Linked DNA regions of Saccharomyces cerevisiae S288C. The protein of the gene in region 1 purifies or fractionates together with the protein of each later gene. This does not show direct contact. Each region holds a gene or a part of one and is shown in the gene's direction. Other genes may lie near its edges. The genes, in order: TAF13, TAF4, TAF6 and TAF1.

Region 1 (4,016 bases):
CTTCAAGCCCAATATTCTAATTAAAGGCGTTTATATATTTGTACTTTATGGTATGTGCATATGTATTGTAAAGAATTATTTCAAGACACAGCTCTTCCAGCTACTGGCTCCGGCTATTCATGAAAAATCCAAAAATAACATATTTATGATAGCATCAGATTCATTTCCCAATCTTTATAAACAGAATACCAATTATCGCCCGGCTCATCCTCTTTCCGTCGCCTCCAAACTTCCAACATTACTTGCCTGGCTCCCCAATAGGAGCCCACTCCACTTTCAGCTAATTTGGCTGCCCATCTTCTAAACTCTTGCTGTCTGTTTTCATCTGTGCAAGCACATCCTGCCATGAAACCTTGCCAAATTAAAGGGACAATTTTCACTTTTTTTTGATCCACCAATTCTTCCATTGCATTTAAGTGATCTAATACTTTGGCAACATAGTTTTGTAGAAATTGGCAATTTAAACTTCTTGCCATTGTAAAATAATAAATAATTAAACTGAAATAAAAGCTCATTGTATGGTGATATAGTGCTTCAGCCGTTGAGTTTATGAAGCTTTTTCCCTCCGAATTTTCTTGATGGAAGTTCCATTCTGATTTCCATTTCAATAATCTTTTTTCGAAATTTAACGAGAGTTCATTAAATTTTCGGGGTACAGGTAGGTAAGTTAAATTATAATATTCATTATGTCTCACTATCCTAACACAGTCTGAAAATAGTAATATTAATGAATTAGGCAATCCATAGAGTGAATCTGTACCAATTATGTTTTCATCAGTCTTCGATACTAGCTTAGATATATCAGATTTATTATAGTAACTTTCTGTTGCTATGTTGGTAAAAATTGGAGGAGTGGTCGAAGATGGAGTAGAGTCAGCGGATACGTTTGTGATAGGCTCCTTAACGAATTCAATATGTATTTTGCCGTCATTTTCATTGAGTGCCTCTCTAAATAAACCTTCCTGCACAACGTCAACTCTTGGCTCACTGCTACTGGTAGTAGCGTTAGATGTATCTAATGGTTTGTAATTATCATCTTCTTCACTTGGTAAAATAACAATTTCCTTTGCCCTGACTTTATCCAACGCAGTGCTATCTTGAATTAACTTCAGAAACGAGAAAATCCTGTGTAAGGTTTTTGTCTTTTCAGAAATATTAGGTCTTAGTTTCATTCTTGACTCAACGAAGTCTTCACAAAGAGCCAAGTGATCCTGGCAATCTGCCATCGTCCCCCATACAACATCAATAGAGTTCATAGATAAGATCGCAGTTAGTACGTCTTTATATTTCTCAGGTATGCTTGATTTTGTGTTCAAACATAATCTTAGAAAGTTCGAGGCTTGATTTCTCAATTCGATACCTAGGCCCAGAAAGTATTTTTGTAGTTTGTAGTTCCTTGGGTACTTGCTTTGCAAGTGGAAGCAAGAGACAGCAAGAAGAGCATTCAACAACGCATTCCTCGAGTTGGAGGATTGTCCCAAACCCGCTAAATCGCCTAATGCCATCAAGGCTCTGGGGAAGTATAATGTTTTCCATGGGTTCTTTTCGAGCACGACCACTGTCATTTTATCTGCAACATTATTAAAATAATGATTTAAAAGAAATCTCGCTAAACCATGTACGGTAAGGTCTGTTTTGGGTATAATATCTACCAATTCAGGTGGTAGGTCACTGGAATAGGATGTGAGTTCTAACATGGACTTAGGCATGCGTGATTCTTCATTTGGAGGAGCTAGAGTTATTTTATTCAGATCAGATGCGGGCAGAGATCTTGGTTCAATATTGACGAACACATCGTCGATCAATGCTTGAGGGTCTGGTTCCTCACTGTTCGAAGAGTTTTTCTGGAAGAGTAACTTCAAGTTTTGCTGGTAAAGTTTATCATTGGCACTGGCTGCTTTATTAGGTAAAGTTGATGAACCTTGATTATCAGCCTCAAAGGCACATCCATGTTCTTTGGCATTCACATGCTCTTCCCCACTCACGACATTAGAGTTTTCCTCTAATGAGATTTCTTGTGGCTGTGTGTGTCCTAAGTGATGTCCCTGTAAGGTCACCGCTGACAATAATGCATCATCTCTGAGTTCACTCGAGATCCATTCGTAACCTGTTATATTCAGATTGTTCCAGTCATAATCTAAAAGATTTGGTGTTGGTGGAACACCATCATTAGCAGAGAGAATACCTGTCTTTACATGCCCTTTATTTCTCAACTTGTCTTCAATATGTCTAATTGGAAAGGAAATAGTTGAAGAAGATGGTAAAGAAGATAACGAAATAGAAGCTGAGCTCTCCAAGCTTTTGGCAACTCTTTTCCTATTGCGCTTCTTCCTTGGAGCGTACTGCTTGTCGATCTTATCTGTTCCTTTAAACACCCCAAATTTCTTTATGATCCACGTCTTGTTATCGCTTATTTTCTCAATTGGGGGAGTATGCAGCATTGTTAGCTCATCATCCATATCTTCATGATACACGTATTCTTCATCATAGCGCACAAAATCGATGTTCCGTCGTTGGTATTGTGGTTCATCGACACTACCTGATAAGTTCGTAGTAGTTGCAGGAGAATTTTGTGGGATTGGGACACCGTACGGGTCAAATTGCATAGGCTTAGACCACCGGAGTTTGATATCATAACCGCCACAAGGCAAATTAGACTTTTCACATCGTTGGCAGTGGGGATGCCGAAGATCACACTTAACTTTTCTTCCTCTGCACGTCCAACACCCAGTAAACGTCTTTGCCCTTCCCATTTTTTTAGGGCCATTCTTGCTGGAAATTCCCATTATATCTGCAACTTAAAATTTTCGAGGTACTGATATCGGTAACTATTGCCCACTAAAGCATCAAATCTAAAAGAGATGCTTTTCGCAAGGTGTATTTTTTTTTCATTTATTTTTGAGTTCTAGCGGAAACCGCAGGCGAAGAGTCATTGATAACAAAGAAGGTTCATCAACAACTGCAACATGAAATCCAAAAGGTAACGGCAGGCGAGGGTGAGCTGGATAAGATATGTCTAGGAAGCTGAAAAAAACGAATCTGTTTAACAAGGATGTAAGTTCCTTGCTTTACGCTTACGGCGATGTGCCGCAGCCACTACAAGCTACTGTGCAGTGTTTGGATGAATTGGTATCTGGATATTTGGTGGATGTTTGTACTAACGCATTCCATACAGCCCAGAATTCTCAGCGCAATAAGCTCCGATTGGAAGATTTCAAGTTTGCCCTCCGTAAAGACCCGATAAAGCTTGGGAGAGCAGAAGAACTGATAGCTACTAATAAGTTGATTACGGAAGCTAAGAAGCAGTTCAATGAGACAGACAATCAAAATTCATTAAAGAGGTACAGAGAAGAGGATGAAGAGGGTGACGAGATGGAAGAGGATGAGGATGAGCAGCAGGTGACGGATGATGATGAGGAAGCAGCGGGCCGTAATAGCGCTAAACAATCAACAGATTCGAAGGCAACAAAGATTAGGAAGCAGGGGCCTAAAAACCTCAAGAAAACAAAAAAATGATATAGCTACTTGGCAGGCCCGTTTACGTAGGCTTGATTCAGATATACGTAGTACATATGTCCCTTTGATTTATTAATTAGGCGTTTGCTCTATAAAAGGGGTTTTGAGTTTGCGTTGGTGCTGAACAAAAACACTTGTCATTACAATGGCACAATTTTGAATGCATTGTTTTCTTATTTATATATTTTTCCAAGTAAAATCTTAGGATTCAACTGGTACATTTATTCTTTTAGATTCAAAAACCCTGCTACATTAGTAACGGCAAACTCCTCCCTCTGATAGTTGTGTTGCAATACTCAGCTGTCAGCATTGGATAGTTAAGATGTATTGTTAAGTCACCGCCTGAAACAGCAACTTAAGCTCCCTTCTGTGCTTAGGAAGGTACGTGCGCCTCCTAACCCATCTATTATTTGATTCTAAGTCACAACGAGCCTGTACTAACGAGTTTTAGAAGCGATCGTTATCAGTAAAAAATGTCTCCTGCGGTAAGTTATTTTTAC
Region 2 (7,651 bases), 200 kb from region 1:
CTTATCACGCACGATTCATGTTCAAATAAAAAAAGTAGTGTGAAGATAAATGAACCCAAAAAAAAGAGGATATTAATAAATGATCCAATCAAAATCACGAAGAAATTGGTTAGTGATAAAACTTTTAGAACTATTGAAAAAAATATTTCTTCACTGCAGAACACACCTGTTATCGAAACTCCCTGCGACGTTCATTCACACTTGCAACCAAGGGATAGAATATTCTTATTAGGATTTTTCATGTTATCGTGTCTTTGGTGGAACCTCGAACCTCAGGAATCTAAACCTACCATTGACCATTAGAAATATAATTCTAGCACTGTAATTAATTGAACTGTATATTCTTTCATAATTTATTAAGACACTTTTACTTTTCTCTACGCTCTCAATAAGTTATTGTTGATCCAGATCATCTCGATATTGCCGTCATTTTCGGTTAAGGTAGGCGCTTTTACGAAACACATGCCAGAAAAAAAAGTGAGGAAGGAAGGTACAATGAAAACAGGGTGAACGCCACTTCTTTTCACCCAAGTTGTAAGAGAAATAATAGTAAAAGCAATCGAATTTGGATTCTATAAAACACCACTGAGGCGAAAAAAAAAGTAATGGACAATTACGAAGGCAGTGATCCTTGGAATACCAGTTCTAATGCATGGACTAAGGATGATGATCACGTCGTTTCTACCACCAATAGTGAACCCAGCCTCAACGGAATCTCTGGTGAGTTTAACACCTTGAACTTTTCAACACCTCTGGACACAAATGAGGAGGATACTGGTTTTTTACCGACCAACGATGTGCTTGAAGAAAGTATCTGGGATGATAGTAGAAATCCTCTTGGTGCAACTGGCATGAGCCAAACTCCCAATATAGCGGCCAATGAGACAGTTATAGATAAGAATGATGCTAGAGATCAGAATATAGAAGAATCTGAAGCCGACTTACTTGATTGGACTAACAACGTTAGAAAAACATACAGACCTCTAGATGCCGACATCATCATCATTGAAGAGATACCTGAAAGAGAGGGTTTACTTTTCAAGCACGCAAACTATTTAGTGAAACATCTCATTGCTCTTCCAAGTACCTCGCCTTCTGAAGAACGTACTGTCGTAAGAAGATACTCTGATTTCTTATGGTTAAGAGAAATTCTGCTGAAAAGATACCCTTTTAGAATGATCCCTGAGCTACCTCCCAAAAGAATTGGATCCCAAAACGCAGACCAGCTTTTTTTGAAGAAAAGAAGAATAGGGTTATCTAGATTCATTAATTTGGTAATGAAACACCCTAAATTAAGTAATGATGATTTAGTGTTAACATTTTTAACCGTACGCACTGACTTAACAAGTTGGAGAAAGCAAGCAACCTATGACACTTCAAACGAATTCGCTGATAAAAAGATATCACAAGAATTTATGAAAATGTGGAAAAAAGAGTTTGCAGAACAATGGAACCAGGCTGCATCTTGTATCGATACCTCGATGGAATTATGGTATAGAATCACGCTTCTCTTGGAAAGGCATGAAAAAAGAATTATGCAAATGGTACACGAAAGAAATTTTTTTGAGACACTAGTGGATAACTTTAGCGAAGTGACTCCAAAACTATATCCGGTACAACAAAATGATACCATATTGGACATTAATAACAATTTGAGTATAATTAAAAAACACCTAGAAACTACGAGTAGTATCTGCAAACAAGAAACAGAAGAAATATCGGGAACGTTATCGCCAAAATTCAAAATTTTCACGGACATCTTACTTTCTTTGAGAAGTTTATTTGAGAGATACAAAATTATGGCTGCAAATAACGTAGTTGAATTGCAAAGACATGTCGAATTGAACAAAGAGAAATTGGAATCGATGAAAGGAAAACCAGATGTCAGTGGAGCAGAGTACGACAGGATAAAAAAAATCATACAGAAGGATAGAAGAAGCATAATAGAGCAATCAAACAGAGCTTGGTTGATAAGACAATGTATTTTGGAAGAGTTTACAATCTTTCAGGAAACCCAATTTTTAATAACACGTGCCTTCCAGGATTGGGCAAAATTGAACTCCAACCATGCCGGTCTCAAACTGAATGAGTGGGAAAAGCTCGTCACAAGCATCATGGATATGCCGATTTCTCGTGAATAAATTTTACGGAGTGAAGACTAACCACTTAGTCTGCCAAAACATTATTGAAGGATATCCAACAGATGTAATTGACGTACTAAACAGAGAAATAATTAGGTAAATAGAGTAAAGATATGTACCACTATAAATTGTTATTTATTTGTTTTTCAATTTTAAATACAGTGTATGAAGCCTAATTCGGATATTATAGGTTCCCATATTTATTAGAAGGTAACAAATCTTTCGATAATTTGGATTAGATAGCCTTATAATATGCCGGACAAACGACGCCCGCTAAAAATGTGTATTCTCCAGTATTCAATATTCGTCATAAATGATCTTAATTTGAAAAAGTGAATGAACTGAACATCGATAAGTCGAATGTGGTCCGTGTAATAGCTCAAATGGGAAAGTTTTTCTAATCAGCATTCTGTATAACCTCACCTGCACGTAATCTAAAGTGCTTTTATCGATTGGTAGTGCACATATTGTCTTTCGGCATCATATCACATAATGGCAAATTCGCCGAAAAAGCCATCTGATGGCACTGGAGTATCAGCGTCAGACACGCCTAAATATCAACATACCGTCCCAGAAACGAAACCAGCATTTAATTTGTCACCAGGTAAAGCTAGTGAGCTATCACATAGCCTTCCGTCGCCTAGCCAGATAAAATCAACCGCACATGTATCTTCAACTCACAATGATGCGGCAGGTAATACGGATGATTCTGTTCTTCCTAAAAATGTATCACCCACAACTAATTTGAGAGTTGAAAGTAATGGAGATACAAACAATATGTTCTCTAGCCCTGCTGGACTAGCTCTACCAAAAAAGGATGATAAAAAAAAAAACAAGGGTACGAGTAAAGCAGATTCTAAAGATGGCAAAGCATCCAACTCCTCAGGACAGAATGCACAACAACAATCAGACCCAAATAAAATGCAAGATGTCCTTTTTTCCGCAGGTATCGATGTTAGGGAGGAGGAGGCTCTTCTAAATTCATCTATTAATGCCTCAAAATCCCAAGTTCAAACAAATAACGTTAAGATCCCCAACCATTTACCATTCCTTCACCCGGAACAAGTTTCCAATTATATGAGGAAAGTCGGAAAAGAGCAAAACTTCAACCTGACCCCTACAAAGAATCCTGAAATTTTGGACATGATGTCAAGTGCCTGCGAAAACTATATGAGAGATATCCTAACAAATGCCATTGTCATCTCCCGACATAGAAGAAAAGCAGTCAAGATAAATTCTGGTAGAAGAAGTGAAGTTTCTGCGGCTTTAAGAGCCATTGCACTAATTCAAAAAAAAGAAGAAGAAAGGCGTGTGAAAAAAAGAATTGCGTTGGGACTCGAGAAGGAAGATTATGAAAATAAGATTGATTCCGAAGAGACGTTACACAGAGCATCGAACGTTACGGCTGGCCTTAGAGCAGGTAGTAAAAAACAGTATGGTTGGCTAACTTCATCAGTAAATAAGCCGACGTCCTTGGGAGCAAAATCTTCAGGCAAAGTCGCCTCCGACATCACGGCTAGAGGAGAAAGTGGGCTAAAGTTTAGAGAAGCTAGAGAGGAGCCTGGTATAGTAATGAGGGATTTACTCTTTGCTCTCGAAAATAGGCGCAACAGCGTTCAGACTATTATTTCAAAGGGTTATGCCAAGATCAGAGATTAATTGCTCATCTCTTATACTGTCTATAATATTTAAAGGTATAGTGTTTCAAATAAACTAGGATATAAAAAAAACAAGATTGACTAACATAAAGAAGGCCGGTTGGTGTCGCTTAGTCAAGTCATCGCCAAGCTATTGAGGACCATTCAACCTTTTTGCTTTGTTCATTTTAACTTTATAATAAGGAAGATATATCAATCCTTGAAGTTAGGCATCCTTCTACCAAAAATAGCGGAAAGAGGAGTGATAATCGGGAAAAAAATTTTCATATTAATACACATTTTTATACATTTACTTGTCATTATCCTTTTGGGTGAAAGGATGTATTATGTATTGTTTCTCAGAAGGGCTTCTAAATTAGTCCAAATAATGCTGTTATGGCACCTAACAAACTCATTAGAGTATTAGTGTTCGCATAGGAAATAGCCGCAGCATTCGCTTTGTTTGCCGTAGAGGAAGAAGAACGAGCTGTAGAGGAAGAAATTGAAGAGGATGAAGAATTTGAGTTTAAAGTTGTATTTGACGAAGAGTTTGAGTTAGAAGTGACATTTGATGAAGTCGAGGTTGTTGAGTTTGATGTAGTATTTCCGGAGGTTGATGAACCTAAGAGAGCCGTTATTGGAATACCGTCAGTAGCCTCAGAGATTGCAGAGGCAATAGCACCGCTTTGATACGTACTATTTCCCGATAGTTCAGGATTAGCTGAGGTACTTAGTGTGCCGTTCCAGCAGTAATCCGCAAAACATTTGGTACATTCAGGGGGCAAGGTGGCATTTAGGCTTTCTTGCTTACGTCTAATGATGGCACAACCTATGCAACCTAAAAAGTTAGAGTCATCCGTAAAGTTGCCCATTGTAGCAGCTTCAAAACCATTTCTGATCATTCCAAGACGTTCTGTAACATTGTAGTTCATCTTCAAAGTACTTTGGTTACCATTGAATGAATGTTTTGTGTTTGGGATATATACAACTAAAGGTGGAATATACTCCAAGTCCGTCAAATTTTTTGCATCACAACCAAAAAACGTTGGCTTATTAGTTAAGCCCAAGTTAAGGAAGGTGTTAACGTCTGGAACATATGGGAAAGCCATTCCTTTACCTTGCTTAGAATACTGGCGCTCATAAGTGTTCGTCATGCACACACCACTTGGCCATGATTCATCAGTATTGTCGGATATATCCAATGCGAACACCACATCCAAGTCACGTTCCTTCTTGATTAGTGGAACCAACGGCAAATTTTGGCCGTCCTCACCACCATCAACTAAAAACAAATCATCGGCATCAACAATACTGGAAGTGTAATTGCGGTCAACAAATTCTGTATCCTTGAATGGATTTGCAGCGTAAATTGCAATATCATCGTCATCTTGGGATAGGTTGTTAACGTACTTGTTGGCAAAACTATTAATCATTTTATAATAGGTCGAAGTGGAAGCTTCCAGGGAAAATTCGTTGAATAAACTGGCGGATGTGGCAATTACAAATCCAGCATTATCGTAACCAGAAACGCATTGATCCTTGTTGACCGGTTTACCATTTGTAACGTTGGTACCTAGATATTTCACATCCGTAAAAGCGTTCAAAGAAGGATCCCAAGAACCCATTTCAAATGGAGTGAACTCGAAAAGAGTGGCATTCAAGTTTATCACGGTGGTACCTGGGTATCTACCATCTGCAACAGTAATTGGTAAAGGCATTTCACCGTTTTTGAACACATCAACATCTCTCAAAGAGGACCAAGTCAAAGCGGAGCCAGCATCTGGCAAGCTTGGAAAGAAGTTGTAAGAAAGTGCACGGGCCCACAAATCCGACAAAGATATATTGAAGCCTGCATCAGACTTAGCCTGCACTTCTTGTACAATGGACTCCCATCTTTCAATTGTGTAGGTCAAATTAGAGCCACCAGGGTTCACAATGGATTTCGTGATATTCCAGATGGAATCGCTCTCACTCATATGGTCTACAATTTCCTGTACAGAGGTCCAATTGTTCCATGCCAAAGTACCAGTCAACCAGTTACCACCGGACAAACCCGATAGATACGTGGAACTTTGTAGTAAACCACCAAGACCATGCTCGTTAGCACCATCAGTACGATTGTCCATAGCAGCAATCATACCAGCACCACCCAACATGGCACGATAACCACCACCAGAGCATGCAATACCAATTTTGGGTACATTGGAAGAGTTACTACTGAAAAGAGTGGATAGCAAAGAAGTGTCACTGAAGTTAGAAGTAGCTCTGCTTAAGAAGGAATGTAAAGCTTCTTTAGTGTACGCATCTCTTTTCTTTAACCAATCAGTTTCAGCGGTAGATAAGCCAGACGCGTTTCTAACTAAAGAGGTATCATCACTGGGACAAGGAATTATTGATGGAGCATAACCATCACCAGTAGTGGACGACGAATCTGCAGCGAGCGAAAGTCCAGAAATTAGCGAGCTAGCCTGTAATATGTTCCGTAATTGCATCTGCGTAAGAAGTGTTACTTTACCAGCGCGAGTGAATTTTAACTCACTTCTAACCCTTGATAAGATTTGAAGGCACACTAAGGAAAAACAAGCTAAAAGACATTTCTAACGCCTTGTAAAGATAACTAATTGTGCTCATATATAAGGTATATTCTACTCCACATGAGATACGAAAAGAAGAAGATTCTCAGACTATTTAACTCTTTGTCCTTTTTTTACCTTTTTTTTGATTTTTTTTTCACTTTCTTCTGTTGGTAAACAATGCCAAGGTGGAGAATATGCGGAAGAAATGTCCGCAAGGTAAAAAATTGTTGAAAAAGGCGACGCGTCCCTTTGTAGGAGCTTTTCGAAGGCGTATACGAGCCAAGAAAAACCTTATTTCCCAGTTTGGCCAGACCGGCTGCATTGGGTGCGACGGTAAATTCTCTATAGGCATCACCATTGAAAAGTATGTCCTTAATTTAGTCGTGAGAATCATCATTGTGTTCGCCCTTTGTCGTATAACCGAATTGAGTGTCTTTGATTCATCTCTAAGGTGTAAAAGCAGAAAAACCAGATTATCTAAAGCTGCAAGAAAGAAAGAAACTGATCATTTTCATGAACAGTGCAGATATGTGGAAGTGAAATTTGGCCTGCAGATGGCATATCTGCAATCCTAGCTTTTTCCTTCTGCACTTTAAACCTATCTATATATCTTCGATGAAAGTACTGCATGAACATATCTGTATAGATAGATATATGTAGGGAAGACACCCGGTATGTAAATGTTAATGCTCGTAAGATTTCGAGTTTGTAAAAATAAGATGCGGTATGCACTTGAGATCTCGTAAACTATTTGTATGTTGATATTTTTGCGCTTTTCTCACTCTCGTATTCTTTTAGAAAAGAAATAGAAACGAAGAAAGAGCCTAAATTAGACCGAAGACGGCACTAATGACACTTAAGACACCAATAAAAGTGTTAGTGTTTAAGTTAGAATAATTCACCAAAGCATTGCCCGCATTTTTCTTATGAGTGGAAGACCCAGAAGCAGAGGCAGAGGCGGAAGCAGAGGCAGAGGCAGAGGCAGAGGCAGCAGCGGCGGAGGCAGACAAGGAAGCAGAAGAAGAATAATCATCATTTCCTACACCTGAGACTGACCTGCTGTCAATAGTACCGTTCCAGCAGTAGTTGGTAAAACACTGGCTGCATTCAGAGGGCAATGTAGCATTCAAGTTTTGTTGCTTACGTCTGATAATGGCGCAACCAACACAGCCCAAGAAATCAGAATCATCAGTAAAATTACCCATTGTGGCAGCTTCAAACCCATTCTTAATCATACCAAGACGTTCTGAATCGGAGTATGACATCTTAAAAGTACTTTGGTTACCATTAAATGAAT
Region 3 (7,803 bases), on another chromosome or scaffold:
AACCGCGTTATTGAAATAAATGGGGGTAATGCAGATATTTCTCTGCCCATTGTCAAATTTCCACCGTTTAAACTCAGAGCTCAATTAATTGAAAAGGACCCCGTAGTATGGCTGCATCTAATAGAAACCTATGTAACGTATTTTGAGTATTTGATGCAAGGTGCTAACGTTGAATTATTAGATGAATCTACACTTGATCATCTTCGTTTATTTTTGAGAACTTACTTGCATGAAATTGCTGATGAGGAAGGAAAGTTATTAAGTCTCGGTATCAACCATGATGTGTCTGAACAGTTATATTTACTAAAAGGCTGGATATTTTCATTGATCAAGAAATGCGGGTTATTACATCTTCAGATTTTTGGTGACTCCCTGTGGAATTTGATCAAAGTATATGTTAGACGTAATCCAGATTCTATTCGTGGTTTGATCGATGGCTCATTGAAACCACGGATCAACACGCAACGTGTACAATTGGACAAATCGTACCAAGTTCAACAGCATTTGAAGCAGTTAATAGAATCTGGAAAATTTAAAAGAATAGATTTAAGGTGCGTTGAAGATCTGCTGTCTGCCAAATCCATGCAGCCAAATAAGTTTGCGGAGAACTTCTTTACGGCAAATTGGATTGAAATTTTAGAGGCATTATGGGCAAAGGGACAGGGCCGGGGTCATAAAGAGGCTAGAGAATTGATCATTATCAGTTTATTTTCTGTTTCTGCTGATCGTTTACTAAAAATAACTAAAGAATTAGGCATAAGCAATTTTGAAACTTTGGCGTTATATCCTCTTTTAGGAACAATGCTCATAAATGAAGGAGTCCACAAAAGGCTTCCTGATTTGAAGAGCAAGTTACTATTTCTGAATTTAGGGGGGTTGTCAATGGACGAAGGAGACCATATGAGCTATCCAACATCATCAGGTACTGAAGTTAATGAAGAACAACTGTCCGCGTTGATGGAATTGTTCCCCCAGTTTTCTAAATATCAATTATCTCAAACGTTGCTTGCCTATGATAATAACATTGAATTAGTAACGAATAAAATATTTGAGGATCCTACCATTATCGAAGCATTCTCCAGAGAACCTGCGGAGGAAGAAGTAGAGCCGGTGTCAGATGGTGATAATGCATCCTTTACTGAAGAACTGAGTATATTGGATAGAGGAGATAGCTCAAAAAATAAAGAGCTAGACAAAAAGATTATCTCGGAGGGTGTTCCGGATGAATTAAGAAATAAAACTTTGACAAGAGCATTGAAACTTTTATACGAGGCTGATGAAGATGAAAGGGATGACACTTATGATGAAGCCGATGTGAACCGGTCCGATCCTTCGAAAAGAATTGGACTTCAAGAAGACGAAGAAAGCTATGATACAAAAGATGATTCTAATGAAGTGCGACAAGATCATAACTATCATATTGTTGAAGCTTACTTGTGGAATCTATTGAAAGAGGATCCGAAATTATTTGAGAGATCAAAAAGAGGTACAAAAGTCAGGAAAACTATGAAAGAAATGACTTCATGGTCGGATGAAAAAATCGAAGGTTGGTGTCGGATGTTAGAAAGATCTCCTACCCGAGCAAGACTTTTAGAAAAGAAGTTTATGTTCAAAGGAAATAGCAAAACAGGGAAAACGTCTTATGTTCATAATCGTGATAGCCAAAATGATGGAAATGTCGTCAAAGAACAAGCCAAACAAAAAAAATCTGAAAATATTAAGAAACATGAACCTCAATCTACTGAACAGAAGAAAAGACAGCATGCTAAGAATGAAAAAAGGAAAGGGGCTAGAGCTAACCATAACCGTAAGAAGGGGCACGATAAAAAATTGGCTCGTGCGGGAAATAACGCTATTTGATAAAATGCATCAGCATACAAGATAGACAAGCGTATGTAAGTTTACTAGACGGTATACAATTATGTAACGTATTATAAGTTATTCAGCGTCGCGTTCAGGAAGTGCTTTTTTTAATAATTTTTCCCGCCGACTAGTAAAACTTTGCCTTCAATTAGCGTCCTTTACTATTAAATTTTGCTTTTCTTACTGGCTTTAGAAGCAGCTACCTTTCCCTCCAATTTATTCCAAAGCTCATCTGCGTCTTCTTCAAGTTCTGTAACCTTCCTTTTTTGCTTCCCTTTGGCAGCTTTCGCACTTGGACTTAGTGGCATCTCGATTTCAACGTCATCCAGCATAACAATAAAATTTATACGGGACCCAACATAAACCTTCACCAGCATTTTGTTAGTTTTTATATCGAAGATCCGAACATACCTATCTAAACCACCTTGTAAAAGATATTTGCCGTCATGTACATGAATATAGGTTGACGAACCAGTGATATCATCTCTACCCACCTTGCCCAACATTCTTCCATTACCATCGAATTTAAAAACATTCTTTTTGTAGTCAGTAGTAATCACATTCAGTTCATTAAAGGTTTCAGATTGAAAATTCCCCAACGAAGAGACAACATTTTCTCCCTTGGCATCAAAAACTTCCATCTGAGATAATGGTTCACGGTTAGGTAATAAATCTATCTGAGCGAACGGTTTTCTGCCATGTTGTGTGCTGTATTTGGTGAGGTGGGACCAACGGGTTATGGCTGCAAACTGGTAGTTCAGCTTACCCTTTTCAGTTTTACCAGGGGAGGGCTCCAAAAATCTTAGGGCCATGGGCCATACTGGGACTCTCATATCCAACCTGTCGTTTTTAACATTCTTGGCTTCCCAAATTTGCTTTAAAGATTGGAAACTCGAATCTATTTCCACTAATTTTATTAAATTCTCCTCCCCTCCGTATGCAAATATATATTTATCAGTATCGGTATCTTCTAGATCATATAACTGAAGAAATTCTACTGGTGCTTTCAGTCCAAGGGATGCTAGTTTTATTAACTTTTTATCTTCTCCTTTTTTTATAATATGTAATAATCCCGATTTGGTAGCAGCTACGAATGTGTTATTCGACGAATCCTTTTTTATGGGACATAATGTGACAAAACCATCCACCAACTTGGTTCTTTTAACAGATTTACTTGAAAGTGATTCCAATTTGGCATCATCAAAAAGGTCTGAAACTGAGCTGGTTATCTCAAACTCGGATATGTCAAATTTGGGTAGATCATCGGAAAGGCTCTTTTCATTTTTGCTTTCTCCTTTGGGATCGACCTGGAGAGCTTCATTTTCTTTAAGGTGTTTCGAAATCTTTACAAGTTCGACGACCCCTGAATTCCTTGCTAAGATGGCTTCATCTTCGGATATCACCCACATCCTGTCAACGTAAGCTTTCAATCCTTCGGCTAGATGAGGTGCCACATGAAAAGGCTGCAGTGCTGATTGTACGGAAGTGTCAGTCCCGATGTTACACAAAACTTCCTTTATGGATCCACTATCCACACAGCTGACTAGTAACCTCATTTTACGATCGAAGCTGGGCCTATTTATGGTTAAATTTTCTCTGTATTATGTTCATTGAAGTGAGGCTTCGAGATTGGGCATCGCTTTACAAAATTTTTCAGCTTTATTTTATTACCAAAAAAATACCCGGAAACCATCAATAACAAACACCGATTCAAGTAGCAGCAAAAGTAGTTCATGAGCGAAAACAATAGATTGGCTTTAAAAAGGAAGCAAAGGACGCCTCAGTGTAGTTGATAGCCTGTTAAAATGTCTACACAGCAGCAATCTTACACAATTTGGTCTCCACAAGATACTGTTAAAGATGTCGCTGAGTCGCTTGGGTTGGAAAATATCAACGATGACGTGTTGAAAGCACTTGCTATGGACGTTGAATACCGTATTCTAGAGATTATTGAACAGGCAGTCAAGTTTAAAAGACACTCTAAAAGAGATGTTTTAACTACAGACGATGTATCGAAGGCCCTGCGTGTTCTGAATGTGGAACCTTTATATGGATATTATGATGGCTCTGAAGTTAATAAAGCTGTATCATTTAGTAAGGTTAACACAAGTGGAGGACAGTCGGTTTACTACCTGGATGAGGAAGAAGTAGATTTTGATAGATTAATAAATGAGCCATTACCGCAAGTGCCTCGTCTACCAACTTTTACTACACATTGGCTAGCAGTTGAAGGGGTTCAACCTGCCATAATCCAAAATCCAAATTTGAATGATATAAGGGTATCCCAACCACCATTTATTAGAGGTGCTATTGTCACTGCTTTGAATGATAACAGCCTCCAAACACCTGTAACGTCGACGACAGCAAGTGCTTCTGTGACGGATACAGGCGCCTCTCAACACCTGTCTAATGTTAAACCAGGACAGAATACTGAAGTCAAACCTTTAGTGAAACACGTTTTATCCAAAGAATTACAGATTTATTTCAATAAGGTCATTTCAACCTTGACAGCGAAGAGTCAAGCTGATGAAGCTGCACAGCATATGAAACAAGCAGCTTTGACTTCACTACGAACTGATAGTGGCCTGCACCAACTGGTTCCATATTTTATTCAATTTATTGCCGAACAAATCACACAAAATCTTTCCGATTTACAATTGCTAACAACAATTTTGGAAATGATTTACTCTTTACTAAGCAATACTTCTATTTTCCTGGACCCTTATATTCATTCGTTAATGCCTTCCATTTTAACCTTGCTATTAGCAAAAAAACTTGGTGGATCACCAAAAGATGATTCGCCGCAAGAAATTCATGAATTTTTAGAAAGAACGAATGCACTACGTGATTTTGCCGCATCTTTGTTGGACTATGTATTGAAAAAATTTCCTCAAGCATACAAATCCCTGAAGCCAAGAGTAACTAGGACACTGCTAAAGACATTTTTGGACATAAACCGTGTTTTTGGGACTTACTATGGGTGCTTAAAGGGTGTATCGGTACTAGAAGGTGAATCCATCAGATTCTTCTTAGGAAACCTAAATAATTGGGCGCGCTTGGTATTCAATGAAAGCGGAATAACTCTAGACAATATAGAGGAACATTTGAACGATGACTCCAATCCAACTAGGACCAAATTTACTAAAGAAGAAACTCAAATCTTGGTTGATACTGTAATTAGTGCATTGTTAGTTCTAAAAAAGGATTTACCAGATTTGTACGAGGGTAAAGGTGAAAAAGTTACGGATGAGGATAAGGAAAAATTGCTAGAGAGGTGTGGTGTCACTATTGGATTTCACATTTTGAAAAGAGACGACGCAAAAGAATTAATTAGTGCGATATTTTTTGGCGAATAGTGAGAATCGGTTTATACTAATAGTACAACGGTAATGTTATATAACAGTTTTTACATACGCCATTGTATGTATATATATATATATGCATGATGAGTTATTTAATTGTATACTCAAAGGCCCCCGAAGTGCGAAATTGTTGTAGCTTAGTTTTATTTTATTCCCTTTTCGTCCAAGAAAAGCTACAAAGATGGAGTTGGGTCAACTACTTGCCAGCGAAGGTGGTCTCGCAGTTTCTTATTCTATGTGGATTCTGGAGCAAATAAACGTCTTCTTACTCTCCTTTTTGAGCTATTTTCCGGGGGCTTATTAGTGGGAGTAGAGGTAATATTGGAGGTATTTTTTCTGCCTTCATGCGTATCATCATCCTTGAAATTTAGCGGCGATTCAATGATGCTTTGAAGTTGCGCCTTTTTATTAGGTGTCACAGTTCTTTTTTTCACAGCAGGAGTGGCTTGAACTTGTACGTTTTCCTCAGAGTCTACACGTTCATGTAGGCGTATCGTTTCATTGATATCTTTACGTTTCCCAACTCTGCGAAAAGAGTTATTCATAGTTTTGTATGCATTAATAGTTGAGTGCGAGAAAGGCGTTTTGAGTGTGATAGTTGATGAATTCGGTACTCTTGTTGTGCTTAAGTCAGAGACAGAAAACTGCCGTTTTTGTAAATGATTCATCGTTAGATCAGACTTCGTCCTTCCCAATTGTGAAGGGCGCTTTAAGCTTCTAGTTTCACTTTCGAGAAATTCATTCAAGTTAGAGTTCGTTCTAGAATTCAAAAGTTCAGGGGTGGGCGAAGCTATAGATTTTCTGCTGAACAAATTAGCGTCCACCCTTCTCAATGCGGGTGAAGATGGGACGGAATTAATGATTGAAGAGCGAGAGGCACGTTGACTCGTGGATAACCTGTTATACGTTTCTACAGTATTAGGTGACGATACATTTGTGCTATCGTTGACCTTTTTCAGGGCTCTCTTTGGTCTCATGCTTGGTCCCTTGAGCTTTTGAATTATAAATTCAACGGCGTGTGGTACCTTTTTGTTGAAATATGGAATAAGAACATAATTTATGAACCCAACCAATGAGGCTTCTTTGCTTTTGTCTAGGATATTTTTTTTATGCTCTTGTATTGTTCCATTTGATGCTTCTATGGCATCTGGGTTGGGCGTTTCACTTGATAGTAGAATGTCCAAGATGCATGCTCTATCTAAGTACAAGTCTAACTGTTCACAATAATCCAAAGATGTTGTTATTCTCTCGATTCCTTTGTCTTTTTCGCTGGTTTTTTTCTTCGATCTTCGACGAACTAATCCCTTTTTTGTCAAATTAAGTGATCTTTTCTTCAATTTTAATTTATACTTTTTCTCAAAATCTCTAAAATTCCAATCTAAATCGTTCAATCCTATTATCTCTAATAGCAATAATATTTGTAGCTTTATTTCGCGGGATTTTAATACAACACATAAATCAGCAATGGTTGAGCTGTTTTTGTTTTCATCTTGGATAACAAATTTTGTGAGACAGTTCTTCCTTTTTTCATCTGCTATGGGACTAGAAAAGGGCTCTAATAAAAGCCTGTTATCATGTCTATCTTTGAATTGTACAATTGAGAGAAGAAATTTTTGCAGCATGGCTTGATAGGCTATTTTGTAACTGTCACTTCCGTACTTGGTTCGGCAGGTATTTTTGAGCCTTACTAAATTTGACTTGACGAAATATGCGAGAGGCGTATGTATGGAAAAAAGAGCATCATAATACTTACTTTCTATGTACTCTTTAGGGTCTGAATAGTAGTCATTAATTTTTGATTCGCCTTTCATATCTGGGGGATTCATATCCAGTTTAAGGTCTTTGTCCTTCTCAAGCTTACACGAGCCCTTGGGTTCTTCTGACCATAAATGAAGAAGCTCTTTAAATTTCAATTCGTCCCATGTTTTTAACGTTTCACGCTTAGCTCTTTCTCTTTCAACTGTCGTTACAACTTCCGTACGCCTTTCTGGTAAGCTGTAACCATTGAAATAATTGTACGGCCACTTAACCCAAAATCCTGGCCCATATTCCTCTAGTAGAAAATACTCTTTTCTTGATTTCATGCAGATGTGTTTCAATTGACGTCGATTCTTCTGTTGCAGTAATTGGAGAATGTTACTGGGCACGTCCTCGGATTTAATAATAAGTGGATGATCTAAGCTCAAGTCAAGGCCTTTTGTTGCTTCTTTTACCGATGCTATGACTTCCCATGTTTCCATTATGAGAGGTCAGATCGTTCCTACCTATACGATCTTAACCCTTCAGCAGTTATGAATGAGGCTTCTGCCTGTTTTAACAGTGCCCATCACTTTTTTTTATTTTTCTTAAATGGACCATGTTGTACACCAAGATAGCCGATATTTCAAGGTCGCGTATAATATAACATTTTGCCTAGGATTTTTGTCACCTAGAAATATATATACAGGGAAATCTAAGACATCGAATTATGTGATGAGTAAATAATTTAAAATTTGTAAACTTTGTAAATTCTTTATTAGTAAAATATTATATACCTAATAGTGAGGGACATTTAAGCAGATGAAGAGCATGTTTATTA
Region 4 (9,901 bases), on another chromosome or scaffold:
ATGGCACCTGGTTCCAAGATGACGCTCTTTTCGCCCTACAATTCATTTATTAATGTTGGATTGTCCAAAATGGAGAAAATAAATAAATTGAAAGAGTTACAAAAGAAGAAGAAAATTACTATTAACGATTTGGTTCTATCCGAACAACAGTTAGTGGCAAACGATTACCCACTGGATTCTGGAGACACCAATTTTGATACAGACTGGGTACAAACTGTTGACTTTACCCATGGTGGCTCCCACATCTTTGCACTAGACTGTGAAATGTGTCTTTCCGAACAAGGTTTAGTTCTAACTAGGATTTCTCTAGTGAATTTTGACAATGAAGTTATCTATGAAGAGTTGGTGAAACCTGATGTCCCCATAGTGGACTATTTGACACGTTACAGTGGTATAACTGAAGAGAAACTAACTGTTGGTGCCAAGAAAACATTGCGAGAAGTACAAAAAGATTTACTAAAGATAATAAGTCGTTCAGATATTTTGATAGGACATTCGCTACAGAATGATTTGAAAGTCATGAAATTGAAACATCCATTGGTCGTGGATACAGCTATTATATACCATCATAAAGCTGGCGATCCTTTCAAGCCAAGTTTAAAATACTTGAGCGAAACCTTTCTGAATAAAAGCATTCAAAACGGAGAACACGATTCTGTCGAAGATGCAAGGGCTTGTCTTGAATTGACGAAATTAAAAATCTTAAATGGGTTAGCATTTGGGATAGGTATCAATACGGAGAACTTGTTCACCAAATTACATCGTTTTGAAGTGAAAACCGTTCTTCTCAACGATATGATTATTAAAAATCATACTGAGGACGATTCTAAGGGCCAGTTAATCCGTTGCGTCGAAGATGATGAGACATGGACCCATATTCACGAGAATCTAAATAAAGATGTCAAACTTATTGTGGGGAGAATCAAGAACTTAGAGAGGTCACGCAACTATAATAAAAAGCCACGGAAGGAAACTCCTTCGTTCGATGCGTCCATGGTTCTTCATGATATAGGGCAACATCTAACACAATTATACGAGAATGCTACACCAGGTACTATGATTTTGATCATGTCGGGTACAGGCGACACAAGACCATGGAACAATCTTTCAACTGAGTTAGAGTTTATTCAAGACAAAAAGGAAAGATTAGATAAAAGACGCGAAAGGGAACCTGAAATAGTAGAAGCCATAAAGTTAGCCCGGGGTGGTGTAGCATCCTTTACTGTAAAATAATTCTATGTGTATAAATATATAAATATATATATATATATATATATATATATATGCATAATACTTTTCCTTTTAATTCATTTTCACATCTTTACTCTCCTTTGTATTATCATTGTTCACTCCCGCAGATAACCCAGGAATGGCTTCACTATTACCGACAGCGCCTCTTATATCATCCACACTAAGAGCTTCATCTCCTTGATTAGCAGAAGGAGCACCGGTGGCCTTACTTGTATCACCCTTAGTGTGCGATGTCATCAACGACTTTTTCAGTATTCTTCTATCAAATTCTTTCAAATCTAATATATCCTCACAGCTCTCCCTCTGTAGATTTTTCTCATCTTCCTGGTTCCTCAACCATGTTTTATACCTGAATGGATATTTCTCCAAGTTATTCTCCATGTCCCCTAGCTGTTGTTGTGGTTGCTGCACATTGGAGCTCACCTTAGATGGTTGGTACCAATCATACCTCCATGATTCCTTACTCGTAGGGTTGCCATAGTAAGAAACCTTATTGGCCTTAGTAATGAGCGTCTGTGGGTCCATTTTCTCTATCTCTTGCTGACGTAGCTCTTTCTTTCCAACATTAGGTTTTATCGCCTTGTTCATTAATAAACTAGTCGATAATTTCATTTCGCGGCGATGGTTTTCAAATGTGCTTTTAAGAGAATAAATAGCATTTTAAACACAGAGAGAAAAAGAAGTACAACAGGAGTATAAGGCGATATGGTAAAGCAGCAGGGATCCGGCAAGACCAACTTGGCCAACGAAGATGAAGCATATGAAGCTATTTTTGGCGGAGAGTTTGGCTCTTTAGAAATCGGGTCATACATTGGCGGGGATGAAGGTGCCAATTCAAAGGACTATACGGAGCATTTGCCGGATGCTGTAGATTTTGAAGATGAAGATGAACTTGCTGATGACGATGACGATTTGCCAGAAGAATCTGATGCTAATTTGCATCCAGCTATGATGACTATGGGCGCGTATGATGATGTAAACGAGAACGGTGCCGTACTCGGTATCGACTCAAATAGTTTGAATATGCAACTGCCTGAAATTAATGGTGATTTGTCTCAACAGTTTATTTTGGAGGATGATGGGGGTACTCCCGCAACTAGCAATGCTTTGTTTATGGGAATGGATGCAAATGAAATTCATCTCGCCACTGAAACTGGAGTTCTTGATGGTAGTGGCGCAAATGAAATTGGGCATTCTCAACTTTCCATTGGTGGCGTTAATGGAAATGATATGTCGATAAATGGTGGATTTATCATGGAACCAGATATGTCAGATGGCAAGCATAAGAAAGCCACCAAATTAGACTTGATAAACCATGAGAAGTATCTTCTAAAAAAATACTTTCCTGATTTTGAAAAGGGTAAAATTTTAAAATGGAACAAGCTGATTTATAGAAGATCTGTTCCTTATCATTGGCACAGTGAAATATCTAGGGTAAAGAAACCGTTTATGCCTTTAAATTTGAAATTCAAGGTTCAACAGGATGATAAGAGGCTATTCAACTCAAGGACAATATCTTACGTCGCTCCGATTTATCAAGGGAAAAACAATTTACTTCAAAGTAACTCTTCTGCATCCCGAAGAGGTTTAATTCATGTTTCCATTGATGAACTTTTCCCTATCAAAGAGCAACAAAAAAAAAGAAAGATTATTCATGATGAAAAGACCATATCGGAAGACTTGCTTATTGCCACTGATGATTGGGACCAAGAAAAAATCATCAACCAAGGTACTTCATCAACAGCAACCTTGGCGGATTCGTCTATGACACCCAACTTAAAGTTCTCCGGCGGTTATAAATTGAAGAGCTTGATTGAGGATGTTGCTGAAGATTGGCAGTGGGATGAAGACATGATCATTGATGCAAAATTGAAAGAGTCTAAACATGCTGAATTAAATATGAATGACGAAAAACTGTTGCTGATGATTGAGAAAACAAATAATTTAGCGCAGCAAAAGCAACAACTGGATAGTAGTAACTTGATATTGCCCCTCAACGAAACTATTTTGCAACAAAAATTCAATTTATCTAATGATGATAAATATCAAATCTTGAAAAAAACCCATCAAACAAAAGTTCGTTCTACCATCTCGAACTTAAATATTCAGCATTCTCAACCTGCGATTAATTTACAATCTCCATTTTACAAAGTGGCTGTTCCTAGATACCAGTTGAGGCATTTCCACCGTGAAAACTTTGGTTCGCACATCAGACCAGGTACTAAAATTGTCTTCAGTAAGTTAAAAGCGCGTAAAAGGAAAAGAGATAAAGGTAAAGATGTCAAAGAATCATTTTCTACATCTCAAGATCTAACCATCGGGGATACTGCTCCTGTTTATTTAATGGAATATTCTGAACAAACACCGGTAGCTTTGTCTAAATTTGGTATGGCCAATAAATTAATTAATTATTATCGGAAAGCCAATGAACAAGATACTCTAAGGCCCAAATTGCCTGTTGGCGAAACTCACGTTTTGGGAGTTCAAGACAAATCACCATTTTGGAACTTTGGATTTGTTGAACCTGGTCATATCGTCCCCACATTATACAATAACATGATTAGAGCACCCGTTTTCAAACATGATATATCAGGAACAGATTTTCTTCTGACAAAAAGTTCCGGATTTGGTATAAGCAATCGATTTTACTTACGTAATATTAACCATCTTTTTACGGTTGGACAAACTTTTCCTGTCGAGGAGATTCCCGGACCTAATTCAAGAAAGGTGACATCAATGAAAGCTACAAGACTGAAAATGATTATTTATAGAATTCTAAACCATAATCACAGCAAGGCAATTTCTATTGATCCCATTGCAAAGCACTTTCCCGACCAAGATTATGGACAAAACAGACAAAAAGTGAAGGAGTTCATGAAATATCAAAGAGATGGTCCTGAAAAAGGTCTGTGGAGGCTTAAAGATGATGAAAAATTGTTAGACAATGAAGCAGTGAAAAGTTTAATTACGCCAGAGCAGATCAGCCAAGTTGAATCAATGAGTCAGGGCTTACAATTCCAAGAAGATAATGAAGCATATAATTTTGATTCTAAGCTAAAATCTCTAGAAGAAAACTTGTTACCATGGAACATTACAAAAAATTTTATTAATTCAACACAAATGCGAGCTATGATACAAATACATGGTGTTGGTGACCCAACGGGCTGTGGTGAAGGTTTTTCTTTCTTGAAAACTTCAATGAAAGGTGGTTTTGTTAAGTCTGGTTCTCCTTCCAGTAATAACAATAGTTCAAACAAAAAAGGCACTAACACGCATAGCTACAATGTGGCTCAACAGCAAAAAGCTTACGACGAAGAAATTGCGAAGACCTGGTATACACATACAAAATCGTTGAGCATAAGCAATCCTTTTGAGGAAATGACCAATCCTGATGAGATTAATCAGACCAACAAGCATGTTAAGACGGATAGAGATGATAAGAAAATTCTGAAGATTGTTAGAAAGAAAAGAGATGAAAATGGTATAATTCAAAGGCAGACAATTTTCATAAGAGATCCTAGGGTCATTCAAGGATATATAAAAATCAAAGAACAGGATAAAGAAGATGTTAACAAATTGTTAGAGGAGGACACTTCAAAGATAAATAACTTGGAAGAACTTGAGAAACAGAAAAAACTGTTGCAACTAGAATTAGCTAATTTGGAAAAATCACAGCAACGTAGAGCAGCAAGGCAAAATTCGAAGAGAAATGGTGGTGCCACGAGAACAGAAAACTCTGTGGATAATGGTAGCGACCTTGCCGGTGTAACTGACGGGAAAGCAGCCAGGAATAAAGGTAAGAACACTACAAGGAGATGTGCTACATGCGGACAAATCGGGCACATTAGAACAAATAAATCTTGTCCAATGTATAGCAGTAAAGATAACCCTGCTTCACCAAAGTAGATTCAGTATAACGATGTATTGATCGAATAAAACTTTTGTAAAGGTTTTGTATAATGTAACAATAAAGAAATGTACACTATGTTTCTAAACACTGGCAGTGATCAGATTGATAATTTATTGAGTCATATCCTTAAACGATGGACGTGGTGTGTGAATGTGCACTTTTGCAGTAAGATGAAAAGTGCATATTATTTGAGTTCCATTAATATAGCCCAACTCACTGATTAAACACAATAATTGTTGTCTTTGTGCTCGAGTATTTAAAGCTTGTATTTTTCCAGTCTGATTGGAAATCACAGAGGTTAAAACATAAAGGACAATAGCAGAAAAGGTTCCCTAATATGCATTTTTCATACTGGTTGCTCTTTTCCTTTACAAAAGCAAATTCTTACTCAAAATTTAATCTTTTTCCCTATAGTAACCTGTTTGTCTTGATAAATATAATATGATTTATGTAGTTTTATTACTATAATTATATCAAAATTTTAATTTGTGTCTATTTTTTCCTCAACTAAGTTACCTTTTTTCATTTATATGCATTTGTGACGCACTCAAAAGTGTGATGCTGTCGTCAATTTTATAATGTTAAGAATATTAAAGCAAAAGTTTCCTAAAGTAATATCTGAAGTGCTCTAAAATCATAGTTTATCAAAAAATGCAACATTTCGAAAGTTCAGATAAGATAGAAAAGGATGATGATACATCAAGAATTAAATTACGCTCTTCTTCTTTGGCCGCTCCAATCCTCGAGGCTGTTCAAGAAGCCCAGCCTTTTGAAGAAGCCACTTTCTCTAACTTACAGAAGATACATCCGTTAACAGAAAACTCAACTTGCAATGGTTATGTTATTTACGATAAAGATGGAAATTTGAAATCCATGAAGGATACATTTGGTAGGAATATAAAAACACCTGATATTTCAAATCCTACAAGAGCAAGAAATGAAAGGCCATTGGATACAATACGTGGATTTGAATACTCCATAACAAAAGATCCCCGCTGGTTGCAAGAGCTAGAAACATCTAAGTTGGGATTTAAACCTAGACCTGGATTTGCCGTCATTAATCAAGACTCACAGGCTTCAATAAATTTATCTCAACTGGAAGAAAAAGTTATGGAAAGCCAAAAAAAAAAGGAGAAAAGACACATATCACGGCTTTCTCGGTTACTCTGCAGATGAATATAAAGATAAGTACGCTAAGATTATAAAAAGTGCTTGAAGCTCAAAAATATGTATTCCTTTAATTTCTGCGGTACCCTATGCCGGAGCACTAAGAAAAACACATTCAAAAAAATTTTCATACTCATCTCATCTCTACAATTAAACAATACATAAAACAAATATCGTGACTTAGTTATTTTACTTATATCATTCAATAAACCTAATCAATCAATGGCTAAATTACAGAGGAAGAGAAGCAAGGCTCTTGGGTCATCTCTAGAGATGTCCCAGATAATGGATGCAGGAACAAACAAAATTAAAAGAAGAATAAGAGATTTAGAGAGGTTATTAAAAAAGAAGAAAGATATACTTCCATCCACAGTAATAATAGAAAAGGAAAGAAATTTGCAAGCTTTACGGTTGGAATTGCAGAATAATGAACTCAAGAATAAGATTAAAGCCAACGCTAAAAAATATCATATGGTGAGATTCTTTGAAAAAAAAAAAGCATTGAGAAAATATAACAGATTATTGAAGAAAATAAAAGAATCTGGCGCAGATGATAAAGATTTACAACAAAAGTTGAGAGCCACTAAAATTGAATTATGTTACGTGATAAATTTTCCCAAAACTGAAAAGTATATTGCACTATATCCGAATGATACACCATCTACAGACCCAAAGGGCGTAGAATTGACAAATCTTAGAAGAGAACAATTTCTTAAATTAGTAGCTGAAAGAATGGATGCGAACACCTTAAACGTATCTTTCGAAGAGATATTGAAGGGAAAGAAATTGGATGAAGATTCCATCGGATTAACATTATCACCTGATAAAGATCATGAGGATGGATCACAAGTATCACCTACACAGGATAGAAAAGAATTGGATCAAGTTGTGGGAGAAGATGAAAAGGATGACTTTTTTGAGTAAAAAAATTCTAAATGCGTTATGTAAGAAAATATATACGAAGATGTATACTAGATAGATTTCCACTGTTATCTTTCACAAAATAATTGTTGTTTTAATTGTGTCTCACTAAGAGATTAGTTTATGGACCATATCATAACGTAATCCTAAAGCGTCATTAATAAGGGAAAATTGCAATTCTTCGCCACGAATTTCTTCGGGAATAAATAGATCACAATGTATTATGACCTCTTTATTCATTTGTTTTGGTTGACACCTTTTAATCATCAGCAGTTCATCGCCTTTGTGTCCAATTAAAAACCATAGTTCTTTTTGTATCTTAGGGAATTTATCACAATATACTTCAAACCCATTATTATGCTTACTAGAAAGGTGCTTGCTATAAAATGTTAACACCTCGTTATTTTCCTGTTCTTCAAATTTCATGCCTTCTAAAACCGGTAATCTTTGGCAGACACTGACGAAACGTTTTTTCGTATCTTCGCTTTCTGTCATTCCAAAAGTTAGTTGATCAAAAACATTTAATAATTTCTTATATCCAAACCTTCCTATTTCCTCCAAGGTTAACAGCTTTTTCTTCTTTTGCTGCGGCGTCATTTCAATGAACCCCTGCTCGCTAAAAGTGTAATCTTTGATTCTTCTCAGTTGTAATCCTGGAAGTACACTAACAGGATCGTCTTCATACCAATACCCTTGCTTTATGCATTGCATCATCTTTATCATGGTCAATACCGTATGAAAGTAACCCAATTCACTGGCGACATCAATATAAGCCTGTAGAATACGTAGAGATTGATCCAAAACTGATACGGTATCCTGGATATAATCTGCAATCGGTAAATCTACACGGCTTAAATGAGCTTGAAGTAATAAAAATGTTTTTACATGTGGATCCCACATCGGTAATTCGAATTCATCGGTAAAAGTGCTTTCAACGGAGTACCTCGATTGCTGCGACATTTCTTCATTCATGATAATTTCACCACCTCTTACAGGCAATTCATTATACTCAACAGCCAACGATAACCATCGTAATACCTCTTGAAAAGTCGCATGATCATGTATCTGTTTCAATAATTGGCGTATCGTTAAATGTGAAATATAGTAGTATGAGGATATACTTAAGAATGGCGTAGCAACAATATCATCTCCATGTAATAAAACACATTGTGATTCTCGCAGATTTTCTAATGTGCTATCTATCAAAGAACTCAAATGTTCACTGACTCCTGCTGTACTTGTATCATCTTCAATGCCATAATATGTCGGGTTATGATGCGCTCTACGAAACAAAAATGTCCAACTCAAAAAATCTAACGCTTCTTGCTTATTAGTTATGCTACCTGACGTTATTTCTGCACCTAAATGATCATCTAATACCTTGTGCAAGGAGGACTCGACAGGAAAACCAACGTTTAGGAAATGTTTATAAAACATTTTTTTGGACTCTTTTGTATAAACGATAGCAGTACCTGTAGTGTCATAAGCCGGTCTACCAGCTCTCCCCATCATTTGCAAGATATCTGTTAAATCCATATCTCTATATCCTTCAATTTTTGCATCAAAAAATTGTGTACCTTTGATGATAACCAAGTGAGCTGGCAAATTGACACCCCACGCTAGGGTTGATGTAGCGATCAGAATCTGAATTTTGTTTTTTTGAAACAACTGATGAGAAATAGAACGATCTTTTTGCACTAGACCTGCATGATGCAATCCAATACCGAACTGGAGTGATAACTTTAAAGTGTCGTCAGTGACCTGTGATAAGTAATATTGCAGTTCCTCCTCATCGTCTATATTCAAAAACCTACGTGGATTATCTTCCATTCCACATAAGTGGATCAAGTCTAAAGCCGTTAGTCTAGTTTGTCTACGCGATGCAACAAATATTAATGCTGGTTTATCAGGTGAATGTTGTTTAATGGCCATAAACACAGGTTTGTTCATTGTTTTCATCAGAGGACAGAATGCCAAATTATCTGGAAATCCATCAATGTACATTTTCAATGGAACCGGACGGACGCTTGACGGGAAGTTATACAGTCCGTGGTCCTTAACTCCCAACCAGCCAGCCATGTCGTAGGCGTTTGAAACAGCAGTTGACATACCTAGCAGTCTGACCGGTTGCTTGGTTTGAGAGGAAATATAATTCATACGACTAACAATCATTTCTAAGATAGGACCACGATCACTAGCCAACAAATGAATTTCATCCATGATAATTAAAGATACATCTTGAACAAACTTACGAGTTTGCCAATTACGGGAAATACCATCAAACTTTTCTGGAGTTGTAATAACAATGGTGGCATCATGCACATCTTTAGGATCTGGCAAAGAATCACCGGTTAACTCTACAACTTTATCTCCGGTCACTGGTGTTATTTTCTTTCTCCAGTCATCAACCCTTTCACGTACTAATGCTTTCATTGGTGCGATATAAACAATCTTTTTCCCAGGAAATGTTTTGAAGGCATGCCATATAGCCAATTCAGCCACAATCGTTTTACCAGAACCTGTAGGCGAGCCAACAAACGCATTCTCATTGGTATTGTAAAGTGTATAAAATGTCATAGTTTGCATGGGATTGAAATACTTGAAAGGATAAATTGACTCAATTAAAGGATTCTGGAGGGCTGATGTAGGTAG

What was found.
Region 2: the proteins of TAF13 (region 1) and TAF4 purify together in Saccharomyces cerevisiae (affinity purification with mass spectrometry; 7 studies listed by BioGRID, with this or other methods). This does not show direct contact.
Region 3: the proteins of TAF13 (region 1) and TAF6 purify together in Saccharomyces cerevisiae (affinity purification with mass spectrometry; 7 studies listed by BioGRID, with this or other methods). This does not show direct contact.
Region 4: the proteins of TAF13 (region 1) and TAF1 purify together in Saccharomyces cerevisiae (affinity purification with mass spectrometry; 10 studies listed by BioGRID, with this or other methods). This does not show direct contact.

Annotation. Positions count from the first base shown.
Region 1 is NC_001145.3:74,255-78,270, forward strand, and holds TAF13 (Taf13p), read left to right. Parts: upstream 1-3,012; coding exon 3,013-3,516; downstream 3,517-4,016. Other genes in the region: ARG81 (Arg81p), read right to left, coding at 144-2,786. UniProt on the Saccharomyces cerevisiae protein: Functions as a component of the DNA-binding general transcription factor complex TFIID. Binding of TFIID to a promoter (with or without TATA element) is the initial step in pre-initiation complex (PIC) formation.
Region 2 is NC_001145.3:273,412-281,062, forward strand, and holds TAF4 (Taf4p), read left to right. Parts: upstream 1-2,633; coding exon 2,634-3,800; downstream 3,801-7,651. Other genes in the region: AIM34 (Aim34p), read left to right, coding at 1-303; MVP1 (Mvp1p), read left to right, coding at 606-2,141; PLB2 (lysophospholipase), read right to left, coding at 4,150-6,270; YMR007W (uncharacterized protein), read left to right, coding at 6,549-6,929; PLB1 (lysophospholipase), read right to left, coding at 7,179-7,651. UniProt on the Saccharomyces cerevisiae protein: Functions as a component of the DNA-binding general transcription factor complex TFIID. Binding of TFIID to a promoter (with or without TATA element) is the initial step in pre-initiation complex (PIC) formation.
Region 3 is NC_001139.9:295,594-303,396, reverse strand, and holds TAF6 (TATA-binding protein-associated factor TAF6), read left to right. Parts: upstream 1-3,668; coding exon 3,669-5,219; downstream 5,220-7,803. Other genes in the region: CUE3 (Cue3p), read left to right, coding at 1-1,860; ribosome biosynthesis protein NSA1, read right to left, coding at 2,028-3,419; SLD3 (Sld3p), read right to left, coding at 5,459-7,465; YGL114W (uncharacterized protein), read right to left, coding at 7,760-7,803.
Region 4 is NC_001139.9:1,035,151-1,045,051, reverse strand, and holds TAF1 (histone acetyltransferase), read left to right. Parts: upstream 1-1,956; coding exon 1,957-5,157; downstream 5,158-9,901. Other genes in the region: RNH70 (Rnh70p), read left to right, coding at 1-1,233; RTT102 (Rtt102p), read right to left, coding at 1,303-1,776; YGR273C (uncharacterized protein), read left to right, coding at 5,813-6,337; EFG1 (Efg1p), read left to right, coding at 6,551-7,252; SLH1 (RNA helicase), read right to left, coding at 7,358-9,901. UniProt on the Saccharomyces cerevisiae protein: Functions as a component of the DNA-binding general transcription factor complex TFIID. Binding of TFIID to a promoter (with or without TATA element) is the initial step in pre-initiation complex (PIC) formation.